Linked DNA regions of Oryzias latipes. The protein of the gene in region 1 purifies or fractionates together with the protein of each later gene. This does not show direct contact. Links are inferred from orthologs where the notes say so. Each region holds a gene or a part of one and is shown in the gene's direction. Other genes may lie near its edges.

Evidence for each region. Proteins that work in one complex are often made in the same cells at the same time.
Region 2: the proteins of usp10 (region 1) and sirt6 purify together in Homo sapiens (affinity purification with western blotting; 4 studies listed by BioGRID, with this or other methods). This does not show direct contact. The link is inferred for Oryzias latipes from reciprocal best matches to the Homo sapiens genes USP10 and SIRT6.

What each region holds. Positions count from the first base shown.
Region 1 is NC_019861.2:21,045,648-21,049,299, reverse strand, and holds part of usp10 (ubiquitin carboxyl-terminal hydrolase 10), read left to right. Parts: intron 1-208; coding exon 209-268; intron 269-1,288; coding exon 1,289-2,512; intron 2,513-3,538; coding exon 3,539-3,630; intron 3,631-3,652. UniProt on the Homo sapiens protein: Hydrolase that can remove conjugated ubiquitin from target proteins such as p53/TP53, RPS2/us5, RPS3/us3, RPS10/eS10, BECN1, SNX3 and CFTR.
Region 2 is NC_019875.2:22,338,117-22,342,225, forward strand, and holds the start of sirt6 (NAD-dependent protein deacetylase sirtuin-6), read left to right. Parts: upstream 1-1,304; 5' UTR 1,305-1,417; coding exon 1,418-1,483; intron 1,484-1,985; coding exon 1,986-2,113; intron 2,114-4,109. UniProt on the Homo sapiens protein: NAD-dependent protein deacetylase, deacylase and mono-ADP-ribosyltransferase that plays an essential role in DNA damage repair, telomere maintenance, metabolic homeostasis, inflammation, tumorigenesis and aging.

The sequences.
Region 1 (3,652 bases):
AATAAAAAAAATAGCTCTTTTGTCCTTCTTGTTCAGCCACCATCTTAATCTGGTAGACTAGACCAGAGAAGCCTTTAAGATTTGTGACCATTCCAGGAAATATATCTATTCATATTGGGTTAACAAATGTCTTAACAGCCACCTGTGTTTTAGTGGAATTGATTTTCAGATAACATTTGCCTTTCCTTGATTTGTATTGATTATTTAGGAAGTTACTGCACTCCTGCTGTACCTTATATAATGGAGTCAATGGGACTGCAGGTTTGCGGTGAGTTCAGGGGTCTGACACCTTGTGGCTTGACTAGCTGATGTACATTGTCTTTACAACTAAAAATCCAAGTTTCCAAAGCTGGTGGCTTTCAAATCTATGCATCTTTACTCTTCTTCCTGCCTGTTGTTCAAAAATCTGCAGAGCTTTGCATGCTCAAAACACTTTATCCTTTTGCATTTAAGGCATTTTTCTCATCTAGAGGATTTATATTGAAATAAAATAAACAAACTTCATAGTTTTAGCACATTTGCTAGGGGCATAGAATTGTTTTTTGTGGTTGCTAACATGCATTGTTGAATGAAATTAATTGTAATATAATGCAATGTCAGTAACACTAACAGACTATCCTCTAAATCTATTATAAAGAAGTAACCACAACGCCCTCTTAACTCCTGCAGAATATCAGTGTTTGCAGTATTAATTGGTTAAAGCATCAGTTGAAATCAGTTGAACGACATCTTTGATTCCTACTTACTAATGTTTTCTGTTTATTCACTCTTGCACCTCTTGCTGCATAATGCATACTTAGCGGCTGTGCAATACATTTTAACCAAACATGGAGTACTTTTACTTGTGTCATTTTGTTTTCAAATATTGATGAAACATAAAAAGGATTTTGGTTATTTTGAGGGGAAAAAAGCTTTTCTGAAGTATCAATTAAATTAATAATTCATAGATCTGCAGCAAAGATTACATTTGACCTTTTTAGCACAGAAATGAGACAATGTGGTCAATTAAAAAAAAATGTTGGAATTAAATTGGCAAATTGCTGAATATTTTCTGGCTGTTAAAGTATATTGTATTACTTATTTCTCAAATCTTAATGTTAAGGTTTGTTTAAAGTCACAAAGAAATGTGCCACAAAGTTTGCATTTTACGATGCAAAGATTTCCATTGCTCTGAGAGTTTAAAATTATCTGTATTTTTTCTATCTATACATAAAGATTTCTAATTTTAAGTCTTAGACTACATTTAAGATTGCTATATCTTTTTAACTGACTGAAGTATTTTTTGCAGCAGAGGACTATCAACGCATTGAGTTTGGTGTTGACGAGGTAATGGACTCCAAGCCAATTGGGGTGAACGATCCTTTGTACAAGGTTTCGAGTACTCTCAACCCCCAGGCTCCGGAGTTCATCTTGGGCTGTCAGTCAGTTCAGAAGGCGCCGCAGACGACACTTCCAGCACCGGATGTTCCTGATGGAAGCCATTTCAACTCCCTGGATGGGCCAGATTTTGAAGCCTCGGCTTTGGACAATCACCAAGTGTGCCAAGACATGGATGCACCTGGAAGCCTGGGTCAGAGAGAGCGAAAGAAAAAGAAAAAACGTCCACCAGGATATTACAACTACCTGGACCCATTAGGAGGGGGAAACGGCAGCGGCTCCATTGTGGCCGATGGACAGTCAGTGACAACACTTGTGAATGGGCATGTACTTGGAGGCCCTCACAACAGTACTGAGGATGTAGACAGTAAGGCATTTTTAGGGGATGAACTTTCCACTCCTGGACCTGTCTCCTTGGTAACATCTACAAATGTTGTGTTTGCCCCCACAACCACTGCTAATCAGAGGACTTGTGATAGCCCAGATGACTCTTCTTTGGACTTAACAAGTGCCACTGCCTCTTTATCAGATGGTAACAATGCAACTTCCTCCTCTTCATCCTCCTCTCAAAGTAGAGGGATGACAGAGGGACCAAGGACTGCAGATCAGCAGCAAGATCATTTGGCTTTTGAGAGCCCCGAACTTTTAGTCTCCCCACACAGTCCCCGCTCCAAATCGCCTCTTCCTCCTTCAGAATCTGTGGCTGCTCCCTCTGATATCACTTCCATTACGACTACTGAACTAGAGAGGAGAGAGGAAGCAGACAGTGGGGTTACCAATGGACTAGAACAAACTAGTACGCCTGTTAGCACAGGTGGACTCAAAGAAGACTGTGAAATTGTGGAGCAGAGTCAGCATCTAGCTCCAGACTCTAATGCTCAGCCTGTAGTGTCAGAGCAGGCACAATTACCTGCAGTTTCAGCTGCACCCACTGCCAATCTTCCCAAATCTTGGGCAAGCCTATTTCACAACTCAAAGCCTCTTCCTGGGGGCCCTCCGGCCTTTGTAGAGGTAAAACATGTTGTGGATGTTGTGTCTCCCTCCCCTGCTGTTCCAGAAGAACCTGAACAGGTTGAGGAGGTTAAAGAAGGTCCAATACATGTATCAGAGGACCCATTTGCTCCTAAACTTGCAGGTACTATATAGTTGTGGTTCATCTTTGTTGCATTATTGTTGTTCATCTTAGGTTTTAAACTTTAGTACAATTTCTACTCATTTTATTAGTAATGCTTTGGATTTTAATCATTAAGGTAATAACATTAAAATTAATGTTAGGAGGTGAAACAGCGGGGCTCATCTTCTGAGAAGTAGGTATTTTCATATTACATCAAGCTAGAAAAACATTTCAATTATTTTTAGGCTTTGCTCTCGCTGGCCTTCAACAAAATGTAGACATGAAAAGGTGGCCACTAGATGGCAGTCATGCACTATTATTTTAATGACATTTCCAGTTGTGGCTGGGTTTCTGAAAGCTATCGTATTGTTAATTGCATATATTTAACATATTTTTTTTTAAAAGATAACCCATTTTTAGAATTGCCATGTGTCAAGACCGAGGATGTGTTCAAAAATACAAAGCTGGACATGAAGCAAGGCTTGTTATGGCATAGTTTGAAATGTTTGTCACAAACACACACACATTTTCTGCCTTGTAACCAGGGTCAACATGAATTAGTTTAACAAAGCCTCCGAAGGTGGTATTGAGTTCTAATTTTCAACATTTTCTTTGACATCTCCTATTCAGCTTTATAAATAGTCACCAATAGTGAAAAGCCAATAAATGTATAGTGATATTTGCCTAATTAAGATAGTCAATAGTTTATATTTTAAAAATGTTCTTCAGTGATCACCTTTCACAGCTCAGATATTTATACACATTTTAAAAGTAGACTCTCCCTATTTCTTTCTGTTATTGTAACTTGGCTGAGACAATCCACGTTACCATGGGAACTGTTCCTGAGTTACAGTATCCCTTCCTAGGCGTGGTACAAAAAAAATCTTTGGCTCTTTTTTAGTCTCTGGTGGTTTTGCACCTAAGGCGAGAAGAGAAAAAGGAACATTTCTGACTATTCAAAAACTTTACAAAGCAGGTGTTGTGTTATGACTTCAAGTATGTGCGGAGCAACCTATTGACAAACACTGTATTTGTTTGAATCCTCAGAAATTATTGAGAATGTGAAGTTGATGCATAAACCAGTGTCTTTGCAGCCAAGAGGTCTGATCAACAAAGGAAACTGGTGCTATATCAACGCTGTATCCTTTGACTGATGTTTAT
Region 2 (4,109 bases), on another chromosome or scaffold:
CGCTGCGGCGTTGAAGTGACTCTGTGGCGAAGAAGCAGATGGGCACGTCAGCGGGGTCCATACCACGTGGACATTTTTGATCTTGTGGTTTTTTTCTGGTTTAGTGTTGAATGTGTTTCTCTGTCACTCTGGGTGTGTCTTTTTTTTTTTTTTTTTAAACAACCTCGAATTAAGGGGAGATTGAAAAGTGTTTGAGTTGGTGGGGGATTTGAAATGTTTTTGAGCTCTCGAAGTGTGGGGCCGTTTTTGAAAAAGCAACAATTGTTTTGTTAACTAATCATACTTGGAGTAAAGGTTTGAATCGTAGTCAAAATACTTGATTGCTATTTTAAAGACATCCAGTTGTAAACACAGTATCACTCCGAAACACCTGATGGACCCAAAGAGCTAAAGCAGCATTATAAAGACTCCAAAACCTATGAAAAATGATGTAGTTCTGTTGGTTTGGTTGAAATTCATTATAATTTATTTTTCTTTTAAATTCCTTCATAGTTTACCTGAATGGTGTCACCTGTGAGATTATTAGGTAAAATCATGCACGTAGTCTGATTCTAGATTCTTGACGTTTTTCTGCGCCGCAAATGAAAATGTTAAGAAATAATGATCCTCTTTATTTTAATTTTCTTCTCTGTTTTGTTGGGTGATTCTGGACGGGTGTTGGTGTTTTTCTGAGAGTATGGATGGTGTTTTTTGATTTAGTTTTTTTCCAATCTGCAGTATTGATAACTTTAATGTCTGAAGTAAGTTTAGTAAATAAATTAAATTTCTCAGGATAAAAATTCATTTGAAACAACTGTTGAGGCAAGCAATTAATTTCCAATATGCAGATGTAGCTGTATGAATGATTAAAGTGTTTTATTCACATGTCTCTTTTTTCCCCCCCAGCTATTTAAAATAAAGATTTATTTCAAAGAAACATTCATTGAAGTGCTTGGAATGACTGCACATAACGGAAATCCAATTTTTTGTTGTGCTTTGTTATTTTAAGGAAGTCATTTAAAGTGTTCCAGCTGAAGACAACAGCATTTAGTTTGCTCATGCTATTTAACTTTTGATAATACCTTAAAATTCAATTATAAAGAGTAACTTGAACATGTGTGTTCAAGAGGTTGGAGGGAAATAGGAATTTTGAACTACCAAACATGTCAGTCTTTATCTTTTATTTATTACTTTTTTATTATTTATGTAGATGTAAGAATGCAAAACTCAAACTTATTCATATTCTAAAATAAACTATTTTAAGTCTGTGTCTGTATGGTGTGAATCGTATCAATGATGTTCCCTATGGTTTCTGAATGCATCACATGCCGGCGCACATTGATGTCGTCATCCAAACGCCGCAGTTCAAACCTAAAACTCGGGTTTGGGACTGTTTTTCAAACAGAAAATAACAACAAAGACAACAGTTACCAGAGTCATGTCAGTAAATTATGCTGCCGGATTGTCACCTTACGCAGATAAGGGGGTCTGCGGCCTTCCTGAGGTAAATTTTGACTACATTAAAGAGCTTTTCATGCTAAATGAGCTAGCAGCTCATCATGAGCGATGTTTTTGTCCTGCTGTTGTGATCCTTCTGCTCTTTTATCTAACAAAACACTTGCTAAGGACCAGCCCCTTGTTTGAAAATCTCTCTTTACATTTTTTTTATTCGTTCTAGTGAGTTTAAATTCCAGCTCTGGTTTAACAAGATAATAAATTATATTGTTTCAAATATAGTTATTCTTGTTGGGATGTTGTATCATATATATCCACAAAATTTGATGGGTGCAAAGTTGTTGTTTTCCTTCATAATAGATTTAAAGCAGCCTTTTACTAATCTGTACTAACGTTCAGCTATGGCTTTGTCCGCCGAACGTGTCACATAAATAGATAAAAGCGTGAAGCTATTCATGAATTCATATCTCGGGACCAACAATCTTAGCAACACATGCATGGATGATTGCTTGTGCTCATTCCTAAAAGGACTTGTTTGTGTCTTCTGGCAGAAGTTTGACAGTCCTGAAGAGCTGAAGGAGAAGGTGCAGACTCTTGCTGAGTTGGTTAAAGAATCTCAGTACCTGGTCGTCCACACTGGAGCTGGCATCAGCACCTCAGCCGGCATCCCTGACTTCAGGTGAGACACGATTCTAATGATAATTCTGTTTTTGTACGCCACATTTGGCTGCTAATGCCAACATCAGACAAAGGCAAACATAGGATATGTATTTTATATGACAGGAAGCGCATCTGTTAATCAGAATAATATTGATTCTTTTGCACACAAACAAATCTATCTAAATATCTATATTTTTCTTTGGGAGCATGTCCAACTATTTTACTTGTTTGATCCTAAAATTCCCTAAAAAGTTACATAAACTACATTAAAAAAAAAACTCTAAACATTCATTAAATGAGCCTATTAAAATCATAGTTAAAACATTTTTTAAACTAATTTCTCCACCGAATCGTACATGATGTGTACATAAAAAAAGGTTGATGTTATCCACACACGATTATGTGACAAGCACAAAAAGTTATGGAAATTTATGTTGGCCACACGTAATGCTTGCAGCCAAGATACATAATGGTGCCTTTTAACCCTTGTGCTATCCTAGGCACTTTGACATTGGGAGTTGGGTCATCTAGAGTCTAGACCCACTAGACAGTGCGCTGAACCTTTTTTTCTTCAATGATTTGTGGTCTTCTCCGGTGTCCATGGATTACATGAAATCTTTCCACTTTTATTCACCTTTGTCACGGTAGGGATAACATGTCAATGGTCATCTTGACCCCGTAGGATAGCACAAGGGTTAAGTGCGTCCAAGGTTGCATTTTGTTGTTGGCCCCAGGTGTTTAAAATGAAACTTAAAGTTACAGTCCCATTATCTGTCATGCACCTAGGTGTGTAAAATATGTTCTCTGCCTTTGATCCATCTCCTGGAGGAGCGGTGAGGTGCAAAAACAGCCGCGCTCAGGAGCTATTTGGTGGTTTAACCCAACCCACAACTGTAATCCTAACCTTAACCCCTGTTCTAGGTCTGTGTGGCCAAGAAAAAAAGCCCAGGGCTGGCCGCACTTATTTCGAAAATGACGTGCAAATAGACCCTTTCCAAAATATACACATATAACTGAAGACAGGCTGGAATAGATCAATATTCATGATTAATCTTAACAGACAAACTAGAATGTTAGTAAATAAAAAAACATAAATGAAATTAACATGACACCATTTTTTATTTCCATTTTAGATGACAACAACAACAGCTATGACCATAGTTCCACTGTAACTATTTGATTCGTATCCTAATTTGTGGTTGCTGATTTGATTCATAGTTGATATAGGTTCATTTTAAATAGTCCGATTCACTGACCTAAAATCGATCTTAAGCCAAAAATTCAACCAGTGAGACTCAGAGATAAATACCTGGTACTGAACAGTGCAGGTGAAGTTTTCCAGATTCCTTGTATTTCTTGCAAGATAATCAAGTGTAAATTAAATATGTGTGCAAACAAAGTTCAGCCCACTGTTGTTTATCTACATCAAAATAATACAAACAGAACATTACTAGAACATTCTACTGTATAGTCACATGACATGGCAAAACTCAAAGTGTTTCCATGCATTGAACTGGAATGATGCACTGATCGGTTTTTGCTGCCATCACATGTGTGTTGTCCATGGTGATTACACTTGATCACTTTTTACGGTATAGTAAAATAAACTCACATTTGCCTCAATCCAAATGGTATTTTCCAATATCAAACTAATTGATTTATTTCATTTAATTTATTTCATTCTTAAATCTAATATTAGGATAAGTAGCAATATTAAAAACATGAACAAAAAAGATACTTTTGTTATTGAAATAGGATGTTTGTCTTTGGGAACCCCTGTCCTAAAAGGTCCAACACACACGACTCAACTCATCAGCTCTAAAAACAAATGGTAATGACTCTTATTTCATTTATTCAGGCATGATAAACAAGTGGAATAAAAAGGAAAACTCAATGCATTTTTAGGGCTCAACGTGGGAAGAAACTTTAATCAACTAACTTTGCTCTTTTGTTAACTATTGTAAGACACTTAAAACAATGCAAATATTAAAATAGTCAGAGTTTTTTTTTTCTAT